2 linked regions of the Arabidopsis thaliana genome follow. The protein of the gene in region 1 interacts with the protein of each later gene in a pairwise test. Each region holds a gene or a part of one and is shown on either strand. Other genes may lie near its edges.

Region 1 (13,081 bases):
TGTATTTTTAGGTATGTATCTTATAATGTAGCTACGTACCATTATGTTAGTTTATTTAAGCCGTTAGAAACATTTTAGTGTGTTTGATTGACCAAATGCAATGAAGTTATGCTCTCATATCAATATTTTGTGGTCATATATGCATGAAAATGCAATGAACTTGTACTCTATATTTTTTAAAAAGTAAATTTCATGGAATCTGCATACATTTCAAGATTTTATTTTTACTTAGAATGACATGCGTGTAGGTGCTAGCATATTTTCAAAGATTCATCTGTCCCTTTTCTTTTCTTGTCCCAAAAAGGTTGCTTCTCTTGGAGAAGGAGTGTCTCTGGAGGCTAAATTGTTAAGTAGGTAAGGAGCCTGTGACCTCTTTTTCTTTATCTTTCTCTTCTTTAGAATATACGTCGGTAACTATAAAGCTCATGATGAACTGTGATTTCCTTCAGAAAGGAAGCGGCATTGCGCCAACGTGAGGTTAGTGTGTAGAGATATATAAAATTTTAATCGCTTCTTTGGTTGAGCTCCCATTTTGTACTTTTATGATGCCACATTAAGTTATAGATAAACATTTTTGTAAAGCCTAACGATTAAGACTGACTGGCTGGCAGGCTGCTCTTAAGGCTGCTAACGAGAAAAAAGATGGGAAAAAGGAGGAAGTTGTTTCCCTCCGTTCAGAAATTCAGGTAGGTCTACTAATATTTTGGTATTAGAATATGTTTGTTATTCTGATCTGCATTATGTAATCATTTCTTTATGTTCAGATCTTGAAGGATGAGGCAGAAACAGCTGCGGAATGCCTTCAAGAAGCGGAATCAGAAGCAAAGGCTCTTCGTATAATGACTCAAAGAATGGTTTTAACACAGGACGAAATGGTATGTTTAGAAAGCTCAAGTCTCATTATACTCACGTTTAAAGATTTCTGATTGTATGGAAAAAAAAATTGATCATCTAGGAGGAAGTAGCCTTGAAGAGATGCTGGCTTGCCCGGTATTGGGGTTTGGCAGTGCAGCATGGTAAGTAATGCATCCATCTTGTGAACGTGTTCTCATTGATACACTTACTCAGCTCTCTAATTTTGGTCAAAGGCTTGTAGTTGTGGTGAGGTAGTTTATTTATTAAAATTCTTAGATATTTGGTTTTCCTGTGGCTTACCTATGTAGGCATTTGTGCTGACATAGCACCATCCAGGCATGAAAAATGGTCGGCTCTGGCTCCTCTTCCATTTGAGCTGGTCATATCTGCAGCACAAAAGACCAAGGAGTTATCTCGGGACAAAGGCTAGTCTTAATATTTGCTATGGCCAAGGTTTCCTTGATACTGTTTACTTACCAGCCTTTGGAATTGATCAGGTGGGAGTGATCAGAGCAAAACTGCTAGATTTTTAAGTGATCTACCTGGAGAAGGAAATATCGAAAGTATGCTTTCAGTTGAGATGGGTTTGAGAGAGCTGGCATCCTTAAAGGTAATATACCATTGTTTCTTTACTTTAAGGTATCTTCAAGTACATAATTAAGTTCTCATATCACAACGAAATTTAGGTTGAGGATGCTGTTATGCTTGCATTCGCACAGAAGAGAACACCGAGTTTGGTTCGTCAAGGTATGTATGCTATATCATCAATTAGTACAGTGTCAAATATAGTCTGTTTTTACTAGTCATCGAGATCAATAGTCTGTTTTCTCCATATCTTACAGATTCCAAAGGGCATGGAGAACTCAGTTTTGTAGAATCATACGGTAAGAGAAGAGAGTCCAAACATGCACAATATATCATATCAGCAGTCAAACTTGATGAAATCCTTACTATGTTATCACATTTCTCAAATGCAGAGATAAAAGAAGGGGAACAAGAAGATGTTGCCTTTAAGCAGGTAGTTTCTTTATGCCTATAATTTCATAACTATAAGGTTATAATGTGACATTTTGTTACAAGAGATGGTAATTATTGGTATATTGTGGTTGGTAACTAAATTTATCGCGATGAATCTTGATGAACCGACGTTATTTGGTTATAAATGCAGGCATGGCTTATGTACTTCTGGGGTAGAGCCAAGTTGCATAGTGTGGAAGAAGACATTGCAGATGAACGTTTCCAGTTTTGGACCAGTCGTAGTGAAGGAAAATCTCCGACTTCACAAGATGCCGTTGACGGTAATAAACTTCTTCAATTGATTTCCCCTGTGTCCTAATTCTAGTTTTAATAACACATTAACTTGTTCTCTTTACAGTGGAACGAGGTTTGTTAGAGCTAAGGAAACTAGGAGTAGAGCAACAATTATGGGAAGCTTGTCGCAAAGAAACAGATCAGCTTCTTCCATCTTCTTCTCCGACATCTACTCTTTCAAATCACAACCTTGACTCTTAATTTAAAGATATCAATAGCATTATTCTCTATTGTATAACCGAAAAAACAAATCATCATAATCTAAAATCTTAAGTTTTAAACCCAAAAAAAAAAAAAAAAAGAGAGTGCTAAAAGTCTAACCATTTCTGAAAATAAACACATGTAGTGGGAGAGATAACACCATCAGGTGAACAGATCGCTATATGCGGACAAACCCCGCAAGGAATCGAAGCAAAAGCTCCAGCTCTCGGTTCGCCATTACCGAACTTTTTCCCGGTCAACCTGTAGCAAACTTCTCCGATTCTCGTAGAAGCAAACTCATTCATTCCATTACTCTTCACCTCCATGATCAAATTATCCAAAATCAAGTTCTTAAGTATCTCCTTAGTCTGATCAACACTCAGCTTCTCCTCTTTAACAAAATACCCACACAAAACCTCCAAAGTAACAACCCTCTGCCTATGCCTCTCCAAAATCATCACACACTTGGCTTTCAAATCTTCGATTTTCGACAGGTCAAGAGCTCCATCAGTGTACCATTCACCACCAGTAAGTTCACTACAAGGCTCAAACTCCATTGCAAGATAATGTTTGACACCTTTGTTGTTCATGTTTGCTACTTCTTTGATGAGATTCTTCTTCCGTAGAGAAGCGATCAATCGAGTAACTATAGTTGCTGGGATCGTTTTCTCGCGTTTCAATTCGAACATAGTTGCGCCTCTTCCTTGGTTTATTCGAATCAGATCCAGAAGCTTCTTCTCGTGTGGCTCGTTTAGATCACCTCCCGATGATTTCGGATCCGGACGTTTTCGTTTACTCATTCTTACAAATTCACCAAACTGCAAAAATCAATCGGAATTGTGACACGGTAATTGAGAGAATTCGTGTGATTTACGAAAAGGATTGATCTATACTATAAGAAGGTGATAAAATCGATGATTCTGAGATTACAAAGGATTTTGGTGAAGATTCAGATTCAATTTACCTGGAGATTGGTTTACTGGAGATGAACAATCCGATGAATATAGAGGCTTTAGGAGAGTTCAGAGAACGGAGAAGTCGTCCGTGACTGGAACGGATACGAAAACCCTAGGTCTGCTTTTAGCTAAATATATAAGACAGAGAAGAAAGTCAAATATATTAGTGTGGGCCTAAACTAATACACAACAAAAGGTAACTCGAAGTGGATTGGTACATATTGTTCAGGATTTTTGTTAATTCAATATGAGATTTCGCTATACAAGTTGGTTTAGATAAAAACATGTAGATTAAAAATATTTATTTTTAAAAAATTCAATTTATTTTTTAAAAATAGAAATAATTATAAAGTATTAAAATAATATATAATTTGCATAAAATTTTGAAAATAATTTATATTGTAAAACAAAAAATTTGGTCCAAAACAATTTATATTGTAAAACAAAGAAAGTATATATTTTTGATTTTTTACTAATATTTATGCTTATTAATTTTCAGAAATAAGTTGACAAAAAAATTCTATAAATATTTTATTTTATTAGACTGAACTTTTTCAGATTAAACCATAAACTTTAGTGAATATTTTTTAAAATCTAAAACCATTTTTGTATAAATGTTGTTGATTTCGACCGAAATAGTTTCATACAAAATATAGTTTTAAATAATAACACAAAACGGAAATAAAATAAAATTAGAAGACAGTTCTGTAAATAATAATATGTTTATTTTTTTAAATCTTGAATAATGAGAATAAAATGATCAGAGTCTTTATTACAATAATAAATTTATGAAATTAAATATCCGTCTTCTTTCTTCGTCCGACAAGTTCATATTAATTAAAGATACCTTGAGACTTTCCTCTTCTCAGATACAAAGCTGACATTTGAAGAAAAAGACATTTCTAAAATTAAACAGAACCTAAGCTTTTGCAATGGCGGAACCTGAGAAGAAGCGAGATCAACCATTTTCTCAAGTAATCATCCTTCATTTTTCCCCCACAAATTTAATAATCTATCATTATCACCCCCACCTTTTGCGTTCATCATTACCCCCACATTTATCTCTCCCTCTTTTCGCAGAGCCAGATTTTGATTTTGATTTTTTCCCCTTTTTCTCTGATCTGATATTATGGTGCTATCGCAGGAAAAAGACGAAGAGAAAGATCTATACCTTGTTCACGACGAGCACGAGTCTCCTCTTCCTCTCACCGTCACTTCTCGTGTAAATTTCTCCGATCCTAAATTCGTTTTAGGTTTTAGGGTTATATTAATAGTCTCGTCTTAAAAATTGGAAGACTTTTGGAATTTGCAGGTTTTGTACATGTTAGGAGATATAGCATCTGGTCCAGCTTATAGGTTTACTCAATGGTTGGATTTAGTTCGTAAACGAAGTGCTACTTACGGATCCTCTGGCTTCCCTCACCGCCTTCACCGCATCGATGATATGGTCACTAGGTTAACACTTTCTCTGACTTTTTGTCAAGTACTTGGTTTGTTGATTATGATTTTGGAATCTTATGAGTATATCAGAACAAAGGTTTCTAAATTAGGATATTAGTCTTCATGTCAGTTGATACAAGTATTATCCAGTGCAGGAGAGAGGAATACTGATCCTAAAAGTCCACCAAGTAGGCAGAGTTCAGAGATTAGTTTGTGGGAAAGGCTTGGTAAAGCTTCTACTGTGGATATTGATTCGAGCTGTTTTTCATGGAATATGTTGTCTTCACTTCATCATACTGAACATAGTAGTAGCACTGATCATTCTGAAGAAGACCAGAGTAAACCACTTGAGGTATATATATCATTATGATCTTGGACTGGTGATGCTAGGAGGATCTTTTGACACTATTAGATGTCTGTACAGGTTACTGTGAATTCTGGAGGAGTTGTTTTCTTTGCCCTGTTCAATAGTTCCAGCTCTGAAGATGCCTCTCGTAAGGAAGAAGCAGCAGTTATTAAATTTGCATCATCGAGGATGGCCACGCAATCAGAACGTCTAGGTTATGAGTTTTCCAAGTGGCTAGGGGTGCAGATTCCGCAGGTGCTTCTTTTCTTTCTTGTAGTTTTTTAAAAATGTAGTAATGGTTTTGCTCATTTCACTTTCTTTCTAGAATTTTCAAGTAATGAGTAATCATCATGCGACAGGCTAGAGTAATTCACAGCTGTAATCCTGAGTGGACACTGATCAAAGAAGCCACTGAAAAAGCACAAGCTAAAGCGACTTCGGAGGGGGACGAGGTTGGTGAAATGACATGTTCAGAACTTCTGGAAGCCCTTGAGCTCAGCCGTTGTCTTCTCTTAATGAGGTGAAAGCACAAGATTCATCTTTATTCTTTATCACTTTTCTCCATTTTTTACTTGGACCAGCAGCATAATGTTGACAGTTTTTTTGTTCCTTTGCATTAGTGTTTAACTAGATGATAGTAAACCATTTGAAATATGAATATACCATTTGATAATATATTTTAAGAAAAATAAAAGATGTTATGTTATTAGATATAAAAATTGTATTATAAAATAAGAAAGATCTAAATTACAAATATGAGGTGGAATTATTTTATTGGATAAAATTTGATAACAACAGTTAAACAGAAATCTAATCTTGCTTTAAATGATAATAAATATGAGAGAAATAGCTGAACAGAAATCTAGTCTTACCTAATAGGATTATGTAAAATCTAGTCTTACCTAATAGGATCATGTAGGCACTTTCAAATTTACAATTTTTAATGTGATGTTTGTATAGAACCCCTCTTCTTAGCCCAGGATTCTCTATATGTGATTACAGTTATGTTCATGGATGTCCAATGCTGGAGAGCATGAGTAGTTTTGAAACTGAAGAAAAAGCAGAGAGAGCTGCTGCAGCTCTAGGGAGAATCTTGGTGTTAGATCTAGTAATTAGGAATGAAGACAGATTACCGTGTCGTCAGCTGAGATGGCGTGGCAACCCGGCAAATCTGTTACTGACAGACAGAATTGTGTCTTCTGCAAAGCATCATGAATGTTCATTTGATGAAGCTTTTGATTCCGCCATCAAACGGTACCATCCAAAGGACTATAGATCCATTCAAAGGGAAAGAAGAGCTTCTTCCGTAGATAGCAGATCCAGGTTGAGTATCAGTGATCAAATGTTGGTCTCACAGGCTTCTGATTTTTCTGATATAACGGAATCACCTAGATCATATGATACTGGTTTAATGAGTCCAATGTCTGATAGATCAGTAGCTGCCGATTTTCACCTCGTTGCCATAGACTCGGGTGTTCCACGGCGGCCTCCTGCTGGAAAACGGGCAAGCGACCAAGAAATTTATCCAAGATTAGTTGAGTTACTCCTCAATAGTAGCCAATATTCTTCGAATTTGTTACATGAAATAACAGAAGGAAGTTTAGGATATCCACAGGCAGAAGATGGTGAAGAAACATCTAATGTTCGATCTGTAGTAACACCAGTTGTACGCGAGTTTCGAAATGGTTTCCGAGCTGGTCTCAGGGATTTGCAAGAGTTTCACATCTTCCTTGTCACCCTTCATCAGAAATTAGATGTGTTGCTTCGGGCATTTTTTAGTATGATGGACAAAACAATGTGTGCAGATTTTGACAGAGAAGACTTTGCTGTTCCTGAGTCACCTTCACATACTCATGGGCATGAGGTGAATCATTATCCATCTCCCTCAAAAGATCGGGTGCCTAGTGATAACAGCTCTGATCACAGTGAGTCAGATATGCAAAAATCAGTTCCTAGGACACCAAATTCAGAAAACAAAGAAGACGGGTCTTCGCCTAAGTCACGTGAAAGTTGGCACGGAAGATCCGGTAAAGGTGGAGAATCTCTTAGCAGTCAGCGTTTGGCAGCAAAGCTCCGTGACTTCCATAAGTTTGCAAAGGTTTGTCGCTTCGAGCTTTGATCACTATGTTCTAATTTGTAAAGTAGGTTCAGATTTTTTATAAAAAAAAAAGTTTGTCTTCTTGGATGGAAGTTCTCAGCCATTTTCTCTTTCTTCACTCTCAATATTTTCATGGTGCGTCCAGGTTGATGCTGAGTCTAATAAAGAACTAGACCAGTGGAATGAAACACTGCGGAATGAAGTGATGAAACTTTGCCAAGAGAACGGTTTCAACACTGGTTTTTTTGAGGGCAGTGATAATAACAGTTGCACAGATGCTTATGAGCTAAAGGTATCATGAAGTTTTATTATTTCCTTTTATCCTGAATATGATCTTCATTATATAATATAGTTTTTGGCAACTGAACTCAAACATTGTCTCTCTTGTTTGCATTCTCCTTGATAACAGGTTAGACTTGAGCATATTCTTGAGAGGATATCATTGATTAGCAAAGCTGCTAATACAGAGAAACCATCAATGATACAAGAAAATCTTTTTATCGGGGGAGGATTGGCTGCAAGGTCGATTTACACTCTTCAGCATTTAGGTATAACTCATGTTCTATGTTTGTGCGCTAATGAAATCGGGCAATCGGATACTCAATACCCGGATCTCTTCGAGTACCAAAACTTCTCAGTAAGTGAACCTGTCTTATATGTCTCTTAAAAGGAATTGGTAAAAAAAAATGCATCTATAAAGATGATCGTTTTCTTCTTGTGTCTTCCCTTTGACCAGATAACCGATGATGAAGACTCAAATATCGAGAGCATCTTTCAAGAAGCTCTCGATTTCATCAAGCATGGCGAAGAAACTGGTGGCAAGATTTTAGTTCATTGCTTCGAAGGTCGGAGTAGAAGCGCAACAGTAGTGCTTGCTTACCTAATGCTCCAAAAGTAAGTTGTTGGGGACAAATAAAATTTGTTGGAAATTTTCAATACTTGTTCTCATTTGTTTACTGGTGGGAACAATAAATAGGAAGCTCACACTTTTAGAAGCATGGAGCAAACTGAGGAAAGTTCATAGACGAGCTCAACCGAATGATGGATTTGCGCGGATCTTAATAAACCTCGACAAGAAATGTCACGGGAAAGTATCAATGGAGTGGAGACAGAGGAAACCGACAATGAAAGTGTGTCCGGTTTGTGGAAAGAACGCAGGTCTAAGCAGCAGTTCTTTGAAGCTTCATCTCCAGAAATCTCACAGGAAACTGTCTTCGGGAAGTGTTGACAGTGCAATGAACATGGAGATTCAAAAGGCTTTGGAGGCTCTTAAACTCAGCACTGGCCGTGGCTCAAGTGCTAGTTCCAATTCTTTCCAATCTCATCCTGGTTAGAGAGTCCGGTTTGGTTTTATCTATGGTTTGTCCCGGTTAAAGTCTCTCTAATCGTACATCTCTGAACAAAAACATTGATCTGTTTTGTTTTGTTTTTTACTGTAACGATCTTTGTACTTGTATACGCAAGTAAATAAAAAGCCGAAAAGCTGAATAGAAGTCACTGGGAAACGTCATAATAAGCTAATGTAACATTTGTAACTCTTTTTCCCTTGTGCTTTGTGTTAAGAAAGTAAGATTTGGCCCAAAAATGTCATAAAACTAAAAAATTGATTGCGTAATCAAACAAAAGTTCCCTTTCATTTTCGATATAATAAACTAAAAAAATTTGACATTCTTTCCGGCGTGCACATTGATGAAAGTGAACTCTTGTTAACTTTCATTTGTGACTTGTATGGAGTACAAGACGTGCGTGATGTGCCAGACGACGGAGAAAGATGAAGGAATCATGAGGTGGTATATGTATGAAGAATGGCTATGGAAAGCAGACAAAGTAAAAATTGATTGAAATATTGGGGAACATAAATGCAAATCTAATTTGATGTTAAATCTATGTGGGAAATCTGATAACGGTGGATCGTCTTTGTGGACCAACTTGGTGTTAGCTTTTTTTCCAACTACTTATTAATTTATCCATTCCTTTGTTAATGACTAGTCTCTCCTTTAAGTCATCCTTTAAGTTGCTTTTGTATCTCCACTTTATTCTCTGCCTTCTTTTTCATGGGAAAGTTGCACATCAGAAGCACCAATGAACTTGTAATGAACTCCTTCAAAAAAATTTCTGATATTATATCTTAAGCGATGTCCTCTCTCCTACATTTTTGTTTGTTTATTGTTTACCAATTTCTTGAATAACAAGTTAATTTGTTTCTTCAAAAAGTGTAGAAGCCCACTTTTGTAACGGACGTTAAGATTGCGCTTTAGTTGGTGAAATTTTATATGTTAGGTAGTTCACGTATTTTGTTGTTTGGAGAAATATTAATAAATGGCATTAAATGGAAATCGAATCCATTCTTTGAAGCAGTGTGGGTCCAAACATGGAGCACAAGTGTTATAAAAGACTTGAGGCTGAGAAGTAACGAAGAGACATGAAAAAGAGGACAATGACCAAAGGTGGTACATAACACACGTATGACTCGTCCTTACTTTGCTGTCCACAAAATTCTCTCATAAAACTAAAACCTACCACCGATTTTTTCTCCTCTCTCTCTCTCTCTCAAAATCTGCCCCGGCTCTTCTTTATCGGACGCGTAGTATCAATATCGATATTTTAACCCCGTGATCTATGCTTATCTTTTCTTGGTTATATGGTTATAGAGAACCGTTATCTGTTTTTGATACCTGTAAATAATATAATAGAAATGCTTCTTAGACCCGACATTCGTAAATAATATAATATCGAGAATCAAATAAGTTACATGATTCGGATTTTCATTAGGAATTGGACAACTATCGAGAATGGTTATGGCATATTTATACATGTTGACCACTTATTTGTGAGTGGTTATTATCCCGGATATAAAATGATCATCTAAGTGAAAATTTTTGAATCCGTCCAAACATTTCTACTATTGATCCGAATGACAAAATCAAGATAAACTAGTACTCCCTCTATTCATAATAGTTTGATGTTTTGGATTTTGACGCTTATTAAGAACTCAATTATTGTTTAATCATTTTAACATTTTTCTTAGTGTTATAAGACAATAAAAATAAAGAAAAATGCTAGAAAATCAATTTTTATGAAACAAAAAACAAAAGCTAGAGCATCAAACTTTTAGGAACATATGGAGTATTTGGTATCAAACGATTTCGTCTATACGATATGGCAATTTTAAGCGTATATGTCTCTTTCTAGCTTTGAAAGTTGATTTGATATAGAAGAAAATTGACTATTCTGTAAAATAAAAAGATTGTATAAGTGCATTGAAGCCATGAAGGCTATAATTTATTTATATTTTTTTTGGTGAATCAAGCAATTGAAAGTAACCAGATAGGAAAATGCTACGTCTTTTTCAATCACATCGTCGAAAGTTGTACATTTTCTAACAACAACAAAGTAATTCAAATCAAATCCTAAATGCCTACTACGATTGTAAAACTAAACAACAACAAAGTAAGTTAAAATTCAAACGTTGATAAGAAACTATTTACTTTGTTAGTTTTGGTGTAGGAAAAAGTAAGTGGTACAAATAGACGTTTTGTTTTTGGTTTTTAATGTTTCGGTGTTACCATTACGATCATCTCATCATTGTAATTTACGAACAACCTCAATCTAATGGTCAGTGAAGATTTATTGTGATAGTAGTCGAAATGTTACTATCTTTTTTATTCAACATTTAGTTAACGTCCTTTCGCCTACTACAAGTCAATCAATTTAATACAAGAATTTGCCATGTTTGGCTATATAAGTAGCCACGACAACAAACTTCACACTTTCTTGCCTGAAATAGAATTCACATGGGACCTTTCTCTGACATTTGCATAGGAATAGATAAACTCATAGAATAAAAATTCATACGTGGATTAGTAATAAACCCAATTATTTACTGAGGGAAAAACAAAAAGCCATATTAAAATGAATATTATATTCTAATGTATTAAACTATTAATAAAAAAAATTCTTTTGAATGGGATTGGTTTTCGATTGGTCCGAAACCCCAGAAGCAACAGTCATTACTCTGTTTTCATATGAACACTCTTCATCCTCACAAGCAGCAACAAGAACAAGCACAACAACAAGAAGAAGCTAGATACGAATGGGATCTTTCTCTCTCCACCGTCGTATCTTCCTCCTCCTCCTCCGCCTCCGACGTTATCGGAGCTATTGAATTCGATCCCACTGATAACATCGTCGCTACCGCCGGGATTTCAAGAAAGATTCGTTTTTACGGCCTCCCTTCTCTTTTACGTAACAACGCTGTCTCCGGTACCGGAGTTTCCTTCGTCGATCAAGCCACCGCCTGCGAATATTACATCTGTACTCCGGCGAAACTTAGTAGTCTCCGGTGGAGACCCGGGTCGGGCGGTCGGGTTATTGGGTCGGGAGATTACGACGGCGTAGTGATGGAGTACGATCTTGAGAAGAGGACGCCGGTATTCGAAAGGGACGAGCACGGTGGTCGTCGTGTATGGAGCGTAGATTACACTCGTCACGGCGGCGCTTCGACGGTGGGCGCGTCGGGATCGGATGACGGGACTATGCAAGTATGGGATCCGAGGTGTCCGCCGGAAGAATCTGTCGGTGTTGTACGACCGGCGGGGATTTGCCGGAGTGCTGTTTGTTGCGTCGAGTTCGATCCTTCCGGTGGACCAGCCGTGGCCGTCGGATGCGCTGATCGGAAAGGGTACGTTTACGATATAAGGAAACTCGTTGACCCGGCGTTGACTTTACAAGGTCATACGAAAACGGTGTCGTATGTGAGGTTCCTCGACGGTGGGACGGTGGTGACGGCAGGTACGGACGGTTGTTTGAAGCTGTGGAGCGTGGAGGATGGGCGCGTGATTCGCACGTACGAAGGGCATGTGAATAATCGGAACTTCGTGGGGTTATCTGTGTGGAGAAACGGCGCGTTGTTTGGTTGTGGATCGGAAAACAACAGGGTGTTTGTGTACGATAGGAGATGGGGGAAGCCGGTTTGGGTAGATGGGTTTGAACCAGTTGGTATGAATTCTGGTTCGGATAAGCGGTTCGTGAGTAGCGTCTGTTGGAGGCAATCAGGTGTGGACCAGTGTACCCTAGTGGCTGGAGGATCTGATGGAGTATTACAGGTTTACGTGGGCAAAAGAAAACCATAGTGTTCTTCTTAATTTATCATTACTATATTTTATGAATTATGATGATGATGATGATGATGATGATGCTTCTTAATTTCTTTTCTTTTTTTCAAATTTAATTTCCTATTTGAGATGATTTTTGATTGAGTTGTGAGAGCATACGATCTGTTTGTTTTTTTTTTTAATTTATAAAGGATTTTTTACTTGTTCAATATCTTTGTTGTTACTCAGAAATTTGAGTTTTTAATCCATAAATTTTCATTACCTATTTATTATACGATATTTGGGAATGACTTTCTTCAAGTGTTTGATCACAAAAGTAGCTAGTAGCTACAAGTTTGTTGGTAGATATAAAATAAATTTTATTGCATTCGTCTACCTTATCTAGTGTATACATCACGAGATTAGTTATTTTTGCTTTTTTGGGGCTTCACAATAGAATTATTAAAAATAAAACTATAATGGTTGATGAAATGAGAAAAGCCTAATCAATCTAGCTATGTGGTAAGCTTGTTTTTTTAATCACATCTTATTTAATTCTATGTTTTTTTAGTAAGAAAAAAGGCCATGTTCTGGTTTAATCGTCCTGAAACTCAAAGAGTAAAGTCGTTTTAAACAACAGAATTTGTGCACCACATTTCTTAAAGAATCATATTTTTGTGGGTGCTTCGTATCGTGCCACAATGATGGTTTTAATCACCTTTGAAAATCTTAATATAGAAGACCTAAAATTCATTACGCAACGGAAAGAGTTATAACAATT
Region 2 (10,111 bases), on another chromosome or scaffold:
ATGACAGCATCTGCACCATCCCTTATAGCCTGAGAGGATAATTAGAAGCAACAGAGGATCATCATAAAACCAAATCGACAAGACAGAGAATACTGTACCCAGCAAAGTAGTATATTACTTTCACTACTCCTTACCTCTCTTGTAATGTCAATGGCATGAGAAGGACCCGATGTTAATAATTCACTTACCTGGAGAAACAAACAAGAAGACACGTAAACTCAGTTGAAGGAACTGAAGAAAGCGAAAGGAGATGGCATCACTAACACAGGGGCACAAAAAGGCAAGTGAATCAAAAACTCACATTACAGTCTTTACCAAGACGAGATCGAAGGTGAGGAAGCAACTTCTTCCATTCTTTAGCTGTTCTACCATTAGCACCTAGACTCATATAAAAGACATTGAAAAGAATCAAGAGACGATAATACTAAACCTCAATTCCACATCGAGATTGATTCTCATATTAAAAACATCATTTTTAAATCCAATGAATTTCGAATCTCAGTTTTTTTTCATCCAGTGAGTAAAAGGGCAAACACACCTTGAGGGTTTACGACGAAAACGAGATCACGGAGGCCGGAGGAGGAGACGACGGCGGCGGCATCGCCACCACCACCACCGCGAAAGGTGAAGCGATCAGAGGTAATACGTTGCTGTTTCCTAAGGAAAGAAGGTTGTTTCGCCGTGAAAGGGCAAAGTGGAGTGCAGCAAGTGGATCGTAGCATTGTATGGCCGCAATTTAGCTCCGGTCATCGCCGTTATCAAGTTCATCGCGCGATTAGACACTTACAGAGACCTTCTGTTTCAGCGAGAGGCTTTTTCACAACGTTTATGGGCCGTTTTTTATCTTCAAAGTTTTAAAAAGGCCTATTTTATCTAGCACAATGGTGGAGTTGTCTCAAAGTCAATAAGGTATTCAATATCGACGTAATTCGATTAGGAATCTTTTGGGAAAAATGCCCTTTGGACCTGATGGCCCATAAATTGAGGTAGCTATACCTAATGGGCTTAAAGAAACAAGAAAAACGATTGAGATAAAGACAGCTCTTTAGTCTTTGTCCGGATGTAAATTAAAAGTGGGGTCCATACTTTTGTCGACCGATTTGTTCCTTGACAGCTGTCATTTGGGCTTTGAGGCCCATGTTTTACGCAAATCCAAGGAATTCGTTACGTAAAACAAATAAAGTTGTTATGCCTTTTAAAAAATATTCACAGTTGCTGAAATTTTTTTGATGAGGATTTTACAATTTTTTAAAAAGCAAAGTACTACCAAAAATAATAATGAATCGTCAAAATTAATTTTCGATTAAATCTTCTCAGTTTTTATTTTTAAAAGTAATAACAGGAGTCTGTAGGACGTGGTATGTATTAGTTAGCCGTTAGATTTGGTTATAATAATTAAAATAAACAAAGACTACGCCAATCGACCAATGACTTATTTTATAATCCCACGAAATCGTCTCATTTTTGGCCCTTCGATAAAACTTTTAATTATTTTATAGCCGTCCACTTTCCGCTAAGAATTTAACTACACACAAGGCTGTGACCAATTAAAACGTAACAGCCATTCACTAATGGTATACTTGTAAGGTTGTAACTAGTTTTTATGTGACGGGCCGTAGCTTTATCAAACTCGACCTCCGCCAGACATTTTTCTCAGCCGATCGACTCAGAAAATTCAATGAAGCATTAGAAGAATCATTTCCACACGATTTTCCCTGTGATTTCTTCATTTCCGGCGACTTAAAACGGTAAGTTTCGTGGAAATTGAGTTTTTTTTTGTTATCTATAATTCTCCTTTTATTGTGTGTGTTCTTCTGTAAATCGAAGTTTGTGTGTTTAGTTCTAAGATAGATTTTACTGTTCGATGAAGAGTTTGTACCGAACTTCTGTGTTCAAAACTTCCGTGTAGATAATTAACTCCTAGGGTTCTTCTAATTTTGGAAAGATTGAAACTTTTATCCTAATTCCTTGGTTCTGGACATCTTCAAGTGTAGATTATGGCTTAGAACAATTGATTATGTGTTTGTTTTCATCTTCAAATTTTGATTTTACATCATTTCAATAAAGGTGGTAACTTCTTTTTTTTCAAGATCTCAAAAGTTGTCAGCTTTTTGGGACTCTTAAGGTTGGGACTTGGGATTGTATTGTTCCTCGATTAGTCCTTCTATGTGTGGCAACAACACAGAAGATACATTGAGTTCACAGCAAATCGGTTTGTATGATTAATCATTATCATTATTCTAACAATATTTCTCTTTTCATTTTCAGGTGTCTAGCAAAATGAGCCGACCACAAGATCCACCCCGAGGTTTCTTCCCATTTGGAAATCCCTTTCGGATGTTATCATCAAAGGGATCAGATTTATCGCCATGGCTACTTTCTCTATTGAACGGCTTTGAGCTACGTTTGGAAGAGAGACTGAAGAAACTTATGCCTAAGAACAAAGATGACATCCTCACTTTATCCTGGATGAAGCTAGCTATGGAGTCACTCTGCGAGACTCATAAGAACATTAACACTCTCATTACTGATCTCCAGCTTCCTGTCTCTGATTGGGAAGAGAAATGGGTTGATGTTTACCTCAACATAAGCGTTAGGTTACTAGATCTCTGTAATGCCTTTAGCTCTGAGCTCACACGTCTCAACCAGGGAGATCTCTTCCTCAAGTGTGTTCTGCACAATTTACAATCGGATTCTGGGGAGAAGTATCTCCAGGCTCGATCTTCGCTTGATAGCTGGAGGCAACATGTTAATACAAACAACCCTAGAATTGAAAACTGCCGTGCGGTTCTAGACAGTCTTGTTAAATCTCTGAGTCTGCCTAAAGTCAAGAACTCGCCTAAAGGAAAGGTTCTGATGCGAGCTTTTTATGGTGTGAAGGTTCAAACAGTTTATATCTGCAGTGTATTTACCGCAGCCTGGTCTGATTCCACCAAGGATCTTTTCGATTTACCTGTCTCTGAAAAACCATTATGGGCAAAGGTCTTTACTGATATGCAGAGTGTTGTAAATGCTGAGATCAGAGACATGTTGTCTTCCGGTAGAACCACGATTCTCAAAGAGCTGGAGAGCGTTGATGCTAGTGTCGAGAAGCTATACCCGATGATCCAAGATGGCGTTGATCCTGTCGAAGTTGAATTCTTCAAAGATAATGTTATGGAATTGGGGACACAAGCTGAGAAATTGTCTCAAGGGTTGGATCAGTTACTGGAGGAAGTTGATAGTTTCTTTAAACTGACTTTGAGAGGGCGCGATGTGTTGCTCTGTAATCTTAGGTCAAGTGACTCAATCTCTGGCAATGCAGTTGGAGAAGATGTAGACTAAAATAGTGAGGTAAACAAACAAGTTTAACCCTTACAAAAGGCAGCTTTAGGTTCTATAAATAGTGTTTTCTCTTTTTTCTTTGTTTTGAGTCCATCTGTCGAGCTTGTCTCTTCCGTTTAGGTGTGTTGGTCTTGTATGTGTGACTGTATGAAATCAATTCTGCAATAAAATATAAATATAGAATACATCTGTTTGGCTTGAAAAAATCACTGCTCTCTTTGTAGTGATCCAATCTTTCTAAACCTGTTTCAATCAAAGGAACAAATCAGAGGCTTTGATCTATAGTTAAGTGCAATTAGTAGTAACAAATGAAAAATGCAATATTGAGCTAATATCGAGTGACTCTGCTTCTTGTTACCATACACGTATGTAATCTTTCATGATCTTTAGATTCACGGGTCCCTTGAGAGATCTTTTACAGTTGAAAAAAGCTTCTCTCTTCACATGGATTTAGTGTCTTCAAGAGATACTTTAGGAGATCCTTCAACTTCAACAAAAGCCCTTCTTCTTGGTTTCTCTCGTTCTCGGTCTGATCATTGCATCATCATGTCTGGAGAATCAAGCTCTGGTTCTACCGAACATTGCATCAAAGTTGTACCGACACACGGTGGCCGCTATGTTCAGTACAACGTTTATGGACAACTCTTTGAAGTTTCCAGAAAGTATGTCCCTCCTATTCGTCCCATTGGTAGAGGCGCTTGCGGTATTGTCTGGTAAGTTCTTTTGATTCTTTGTCTGATAAATTATGAAAGCGTTCCTTCTATTGAATGTTCACAGGCTCTTGATTCTTGAATTTCAGTGCTGCGGTGAACTCAGTGACTGGAGAGAAAGTGGCTATTAAGAAGATCGGTAATGCTTTTGATAACATCATCGATGCTAAGAGAACGCTACGTGAAATTAAACTTCTCAGGCATATGGATCATGAGAACGTAAGCCTTAAGCATCATTTCTCACATTTGACAACATCTTTTAAGTTTCTCAAATTTGCTAGATCTATCAAGTGTTCCTGATCTTCAGGGTCAAATGCTCTTTATATATAATTTCGTTTACTCTAATCTTCAAGCCTCGGTTTGATTCTTTAGGTTATAACCATCAAAGATATTGTAAGACCTCCGCAACGAGATATCTTCAATGATGTCTACATTGTCTATGAGTTAATGGACACTGATCTTCAGCGAATCCTCCGTTCTAACCAAACACTGACCAGTGATCAATGCCGTGTAAGTCTCTGTGTTGTTCTAATCATTTGTAAAGTCATGGAACTCTCTGATTTGATCTTTATTCTATTTACTTGTCTTCCTGTTACAGTTCCTAGTATACCAGCTCTTAAGAGGGCTCAAATACGTGCACTCGGCCAACATATTACATCGTGATCTAAGGCCAAGCAACGTGCTACTTAACTCGAAAAACGAGCTAAAGATTGGTGATTTTGGGCTTGCAAGAACAACTTCCGACACAGACTTCATGACTGAATATGTCGTTACCCGTTGGTACAGGGCTCCTGAGTTGCTTCTTAACTGCTCAGAGTACACCGCAGCTATTGATATTTGGTCTGTTGGCTGCATACTCGGCGAAATCATGACGGGACAACCGTTGTTTCCAGGCAAAGATTATGTTCATCAGCTTAGGCTTATAACAGAGGTATACCAGTAAAGTAAAAAAAGCATCAGTTTTACACTTTTCTTAAACTGCAATGCCCAATTCTGATTTCACTTAATATCCATTTCTTGATATTAGCTTGTAGGCTCTCCAGACAATTCCAGCCTCGGCTTCCTTCGCAGTGACAACGCAAGAAGATACGTCAGGCAACTTCCGCGATACCCGAAACAACAGTTTGCTGCTAGATTCCCGAAAATGCCCACTACGGCTATCGATTTGCTTGAGAGAATGCTCGTCTTTGATCCTAACCGGCGCATCTCAGGTAACAAACAACACAAAGATCCTTAAAACATTCATGTGGTTTTTTGCAGTTTGCTTTTGGCTTATCAATTAGACCTGCATGTGTTGTGTGTGTAGTCGATGAAGCCCTTGGCCATGCTTACCTATCACCGCACCATGATGTGGCCAAAGAACCGGTCTGTTCGACTCCTTTCAGCTTTGATTTCGAACATCCTTCTTGCACAGAAGAACACATAAAGGAGCTTATCTACAAGGAGTCTGTCAAATTCAATCCTGACCACTGAGAGAGAAACATGTTTGAATGATTTGATTCCTTTTTAAAAGTCTGCTCCGTTTGGTTTGATCTAAGATTCCTTTATATTGAATCTAAACTCATTTTATCTTTGATTGAATAATTGCTATGATGATACACACATATTTATCCATATCGTAAGCCCCTGCAGAGCTCAAGTTTCTTTAAATCAAATTTCTTAAACTATTGATCATATATGATAGCATTTTAAAAAAATTCTGTTTACCAAAACAGAGTATTATGTGTAATAGTTCGTTTAGTAAAATTACAGTTTTTGAACTTATTGCCAAATAGATTGATCGGAAGTTGAAACCAAGAGTTTTGTCATTGTCTTGATCGGAAATATCACACGCCCACACAACGAAGCTTTCTCTGAAAAAGTACTAAGATATGTATGTATGTTGATAATTATAGTATTTTTCCTTTTGAAGAAAACAGAGAACAAATGTACTTTAATACCGTTGTCTAAGATTTTAAAACGCTGTCGTTGTCGATTATAAATTAGACATTGGCGCTAAAAGCCCATTAATATCAAGGCCCTCACCCCAATTAATTTAAAAGAAATTAATATCAAAGCCTTTTTGTATAGAGAGAGACAAAAGATAAAATATCTTTTTTTCATGGGCAGTTTCTATTATGGGCTTGGTTTGGCCTAATATATATCTGTTATTTTTCTGTTGTGGGGCATTACATAGTCCATCTAATGTTTTGTCTTGTTCAATAAAATTATCTCTCTTGTGAAAAAATAATATAAATAAGTTCCTATATGACTCTTGTCTCTGACCAACACGTACTATATTATTCATATAAACCAGATAAATATTAAACCGAATATCTAAGATCCTATCTCGCCGATATACCGTGTAAAAGACACGCGCCAAGATTCTTCATTACCAAAAATCCCAATCATTTAACAACCGTTCGATCAGCGCGTAACTACAACACTTCCGTTGCGGCGCGTGAGATAAAACTGACGAAAAATTTAACAAATGTAAAAAAAAAGTCAGTATTCAACAATCAAGACGACGAAAATTCTCTCGAGTGATGATGCTCTCTCTTCTTCTTCTTCTACTCACACTAATAAGAGTCTAAAACCCTTAATTCTCAGAGAAAGTTTCACCTACAATGGCAGAGATTTTGTTTCTGCTTTTAAGAACTCTCGTCGTGTTTTCATGTGCTCTTTCGATCTGTAATTGTCTTCAAGATGCTGCGGACAATAATGGAAACTTTTTCACGGTCTCGAGCTTCAGGTACCCTGAATCCGAAGTCAGACCCTACGATACACGTTACATCAGAGGTCTGTTTTAATCTGAGATTCAAGCTTTTTCAGCTGCTGAATGATGATTTGAAATTCAGCAAATGGAATTGGATTTGTTATATCTGATCAGTTGCTTCTGGATTATGATCATTTTGGACTATCTTCTTTTGGTTGATGCTATCTGATTCTCTGTTTGATTCCGTACAGTTGATTTGCCTCCATGGTTCTCATCATTGAATGTTGCTATTGAATCTGATGTAGACATCGTGAGTATTACAGATCTTTCTCCTCCAAATTTTGTTTTTGGTATTCAAATAAATATGTAAGTAATTGCTATTTATTGTATGTAGACTGCAAAGAGCATTTCGAAGATTTCCAAAAGTCTTCTTCCTGTTATATGCTTTCGAGATGGTAGTCCTCCTCTGCCTGATGCCTCAACCAACGCTCTTCAAGGATTAGGTACGATTTAGGTAACAACATGCTAGTTAGCTTCTTTTGTCTGGTCAAAGAGATCATATACCTTCTTACTATTTTAGGGAATTGAGAAAGTTTTTTTATATTTTTTTGATGTTTTGTAGAGCTAGGACGGTTCTTTAATGGATCTTTTGAAAGAGCTCAAGATAGTGAGATTGCACAACAGTGTTACCCTATGCAGAAGAATATAACCTTGAGATTGACCAATGAACAGGTTTTAAATTACTTCTTGTGTGTTAGGACTTTTTTAGATGATGAGTTTCTTTTCTTTTTTTAACGTTATTGTTTCCAGATATCTCCTGGAGCTTGGTATGTTGGTCTCTTTAACGGAATTGGGGCGACTAGGACTCAGGGGAAAATGGTAACACTCCCTTTATAAAACTTCTGCCTTTAGTGTTTGTTTGTTCTGATTTTGATTTCTTATAATTTGGATACTGCACAGATTGTTCGCTCCTCTGCGTTTTCATTTAGTGCCAACATTAGTGTTGAAGGTTGTAAAACCGCTACAATGTGGGGGCCTTTCTGCAACCAGACTATTTATCCGCTTTCATGTTCTCGGTTCGATAACCAGACAGCAAGTGTTATTTCTTGCGCTGATTCTTTTCCTAGTTCTTGTCTGACTGGTGCTGAAACGAAGACATATGCTTTAGATGTAGATGGAATAGCTGAACAGTTAGTTATTATGGCATCCAATGTCAAAGTAGATTCCAATGAAAGTTATCTCATGTGTTACGCCCGTTTTGAAGCCTTTGCTTCAGAGACTCTGCATGATTACGCTGCTGATATACATAAAGTTCCCTTAATTGTTAACAAACCGAAAGCTGGTCGATGGTATATAGTTATTAGTTTATCTGGACGGGAGAACCGGTTTGCACAGGGCACAAATTCCAGTTCTAGGGTCTGCTTTTCCATTAATGTTAAAGTACTCGGATGTCCTGTAGGAAAAGCAGGACCAAATTGTGGGCAGCAAATCTACATTCTTCAGGTAAGTTGCTCTAAAAGCTTGTGAGTATGTCAAAATCAAGATTGAGTTATATACTTATTAGAATCGTTGAACACGATATATTTTATGCAGGCAGTTATGAGGAGAGGATGGTTGACACCTTTTCAATCATATTATTTTCCGGTCAATGACGCTTCACTTTCAGGCTCGAGCACAAATTTCCCCCTCGAACCCATCGTCAGCAACTTTTCCTCTATTCCAGAATTAGACACAAGCACATGGACTTATTTTCTCATGAACATCCCTCAAGGTGGTTCTGGTGGACATATCCATTTCAGATTATTATCAGATTCCACAATACAGTATGAAGTATATCTTAGATTTGGTGGATTGCCCACTATTGACGACCGGGATTACTATTATGTAAATCGAACAAGTGCCAGCCGCTCAATGTTCTTCTCATTGTATAATTCTAGCAAAGAAATGGTTGATTTCTACATCTTGTATGCTCGAGAAGGAACCTGGTCATTTGGGTTAAGGCAGCTCATTGACTCTAATACTCCTGCTGCTTCCAGAGGTTCACCTACTTTAGTATCTCTTTCTCTCGAAAGATGCCCGAGAGGGTGTTCGTCTTATGGGCAATGCCGATATGCTTTTGACGCTAATGGATTGACATCTTACAGGTTTTTTATCTATCTCGAGTCTGCCAAAATATGTAAACATGATGGAAAGTACATTATCTTGAGATCAAATTCTTGTGTTGTGTTTCAGCTTTTGTTCTTGTGACAGAACCCACGGAGGCTTTGACTGCAGCATTGAAATTGTGTCACACCAAGGTATCTTAATCTATCAGTGTTTGAAACTTTGACAACTTTTCTGTATACTCATGTGCGTAAAACCTGATGCAGAACATATTGTTCAGTCTATTGCTCTCATCGCATCAAATGCAGCGGCTCTTTTGCCAGCTTACTGGGCTCTTCGGCAGCGGGTAATTTTCTTGGTTTAACACTTTAATCCGGGGCTCTTGTTTTTTTTCTTTTTTCCATCTAAATGCTGCTGATTCATGTCGTAAACAGGAGTATCCAGAGTGGGTTCTGTTTACATCCAGCGGAATCTCGAGCGCTCTGTATCATGCATGTGATGTAGGCACCTGGTGTGTTTTAAGTTACAATGTTTTACAGGTACGGGTAGTTGAGAGCTGCATCATTGTCATCTTCTATGTGACATTATACTTAATTACGAGATGGTAATTTTTTTGCTTCAGTTCATGGATTTCTGGCTCTCTTTCATGGCCGTGGTTGGTACATTTGTGTACTTATCCACGGCTGGTGAAGCAGTTAAAAGGACAATACACACAGTTGTTGCCATTCTCACAGCTTTATTGGCCTTGACTCAAGCAACAAGGTATCTGAGATGTTTGACTCAATGGTTGTGATAAATAGCACCTTGATACTATTTCTAAACATTTACATTGGCTTGCTATCTTTTTGCAGGGCGTCAAATATTATCATTGTGTTAGCAATCGGTTCACTCGGTCTCCTCATCGGATTTTTGGTAGAATTTGTTACCAAGTATCGATCATACTGCGGGTCGGCTGGATTTTCATTGAACATGCTCGACAGGTAAAATAAGGAAGCCATTCTGTTTCCTGACTTACGCCGATTACCTACTGTGACAAAATCATTATTTATCTGAGGTCTGTCATATTCTTGTCATAGGCCACGGGCAGTCAAAGAATGGTTTAGTAATTTGATCAAGACGCTCAAGAAACGGTTTCGTTGGGGCTTTGTGGCGGCTGGTCTTGTAGCCTTCACCATGGCAGCCATAAGTTTCAAAGTAGAAACCAGTTCGAGCTACTGGATGTGGCACAGGTGTGTGTGTATGTAAAGTTTATCAAATATGAATAATATCGATTGTATCA

What was found.
Region 2: the proteins of PHS1 (region 1) and MPK12 interact in a two-hybrid assay, tested with the Arabidopsis thaliana proteins (one study listed by BioGRID).

The regions. Positions count from the first base shown.
Region 1 is NC_003076.8:7,994,054-8,007,134, forward strand, and holds PHS1 (dual specificity protein phosphatase family protein), read left to right. Parts: upstream 1-4,143; 5' UTR 4,144-4,255; coding exon 4,256-4,297; exon of another isoform or gene 4,298-4,452; coding exon of another isoform or gene 4,453-4,467; coding exon 4,468-4,545; intron 4,546-4,635; coding exon 4,636-4,778; intron 4,779-4,913; coding exon 4,914-5,115; intron 5,116-5,187; coding exon 5,188-5,364; intron 5,365-5,468; coding exon 5,469-5,629; intron 5,630-6,111; coding exon 6,112-7,207; intron 7,208-7,352; coding exon 7,353-7,499; intron 7,500-7,616; coding exon 7,617-7,844; intron 7,845-7,943; coding exon 7,944-8,101; intron 8,102-8,183; coding exon 8,184-8,541; 3' UTR 8,542-8,795; downstream 8,796-13,081. Other genes in the region: AT5G23700 (coiled-coil protein), read left to right, coding at 305-354, 450-477, 612-686, 774-875, 956-1,016, 1,164-1,280, 1,353-1,465, 1,542-1,602 and 3 more; AT5G23710 (DNA binding / DNA-directed RNA polymerase), read right to left, coding at 2,475-3,167; RUP2 (Transducin/WD40 repeat-like superfamily protein), read left to right, coding at 11,233-12,339. UniProt on the Arabidopsis thaliana protein: Probable dual specificity phosphatase that binds and dephosphorylates MPK18, modulating the organization and dynamics of cortical microtubules.
Region 2 is NC_003071.7:18,941,530-18,951,640, reverse strand, and holds MPK12 (mitogen-activated protein kinase 12), read left to right. Parts: upstream 1-3,573; 5' UTR 3,574-3,768; coding exon 3,769-4,037; intron 4,038-4,123; coding exon 4,124-4,253; intron 4,254-4,406; coding exon 4,407-4,544; intron 4,545-4,632; coding exon 4,633-4,965; intron 4,966-5,061; coding exon 5,062-5,245; intron 5,246-5,317; coding exon of another isoform or gene 5,318-5,340; coding exon 5,341-5,507; 3' UTR 5,508-5,704; downstream 5,705-10,111. Other genes in the region: LCBK2 (Diacylglycerol kinase family protein), read right to left, coding at 1-29, 135-188, 302-378, 539-722; BPS2 (BPS1-like protein), read left to right, coding at 2,281-3,324; AT2G46060 (transmembrane protein-like protein), read left to right, coding at 6,641-6,812, 6,981-7,039, 7,124-7,232, 7,352-7,461, 7,540-7,608, 7,690-8,232, 8,323-8,873, 8,962-9,026 and 5 more.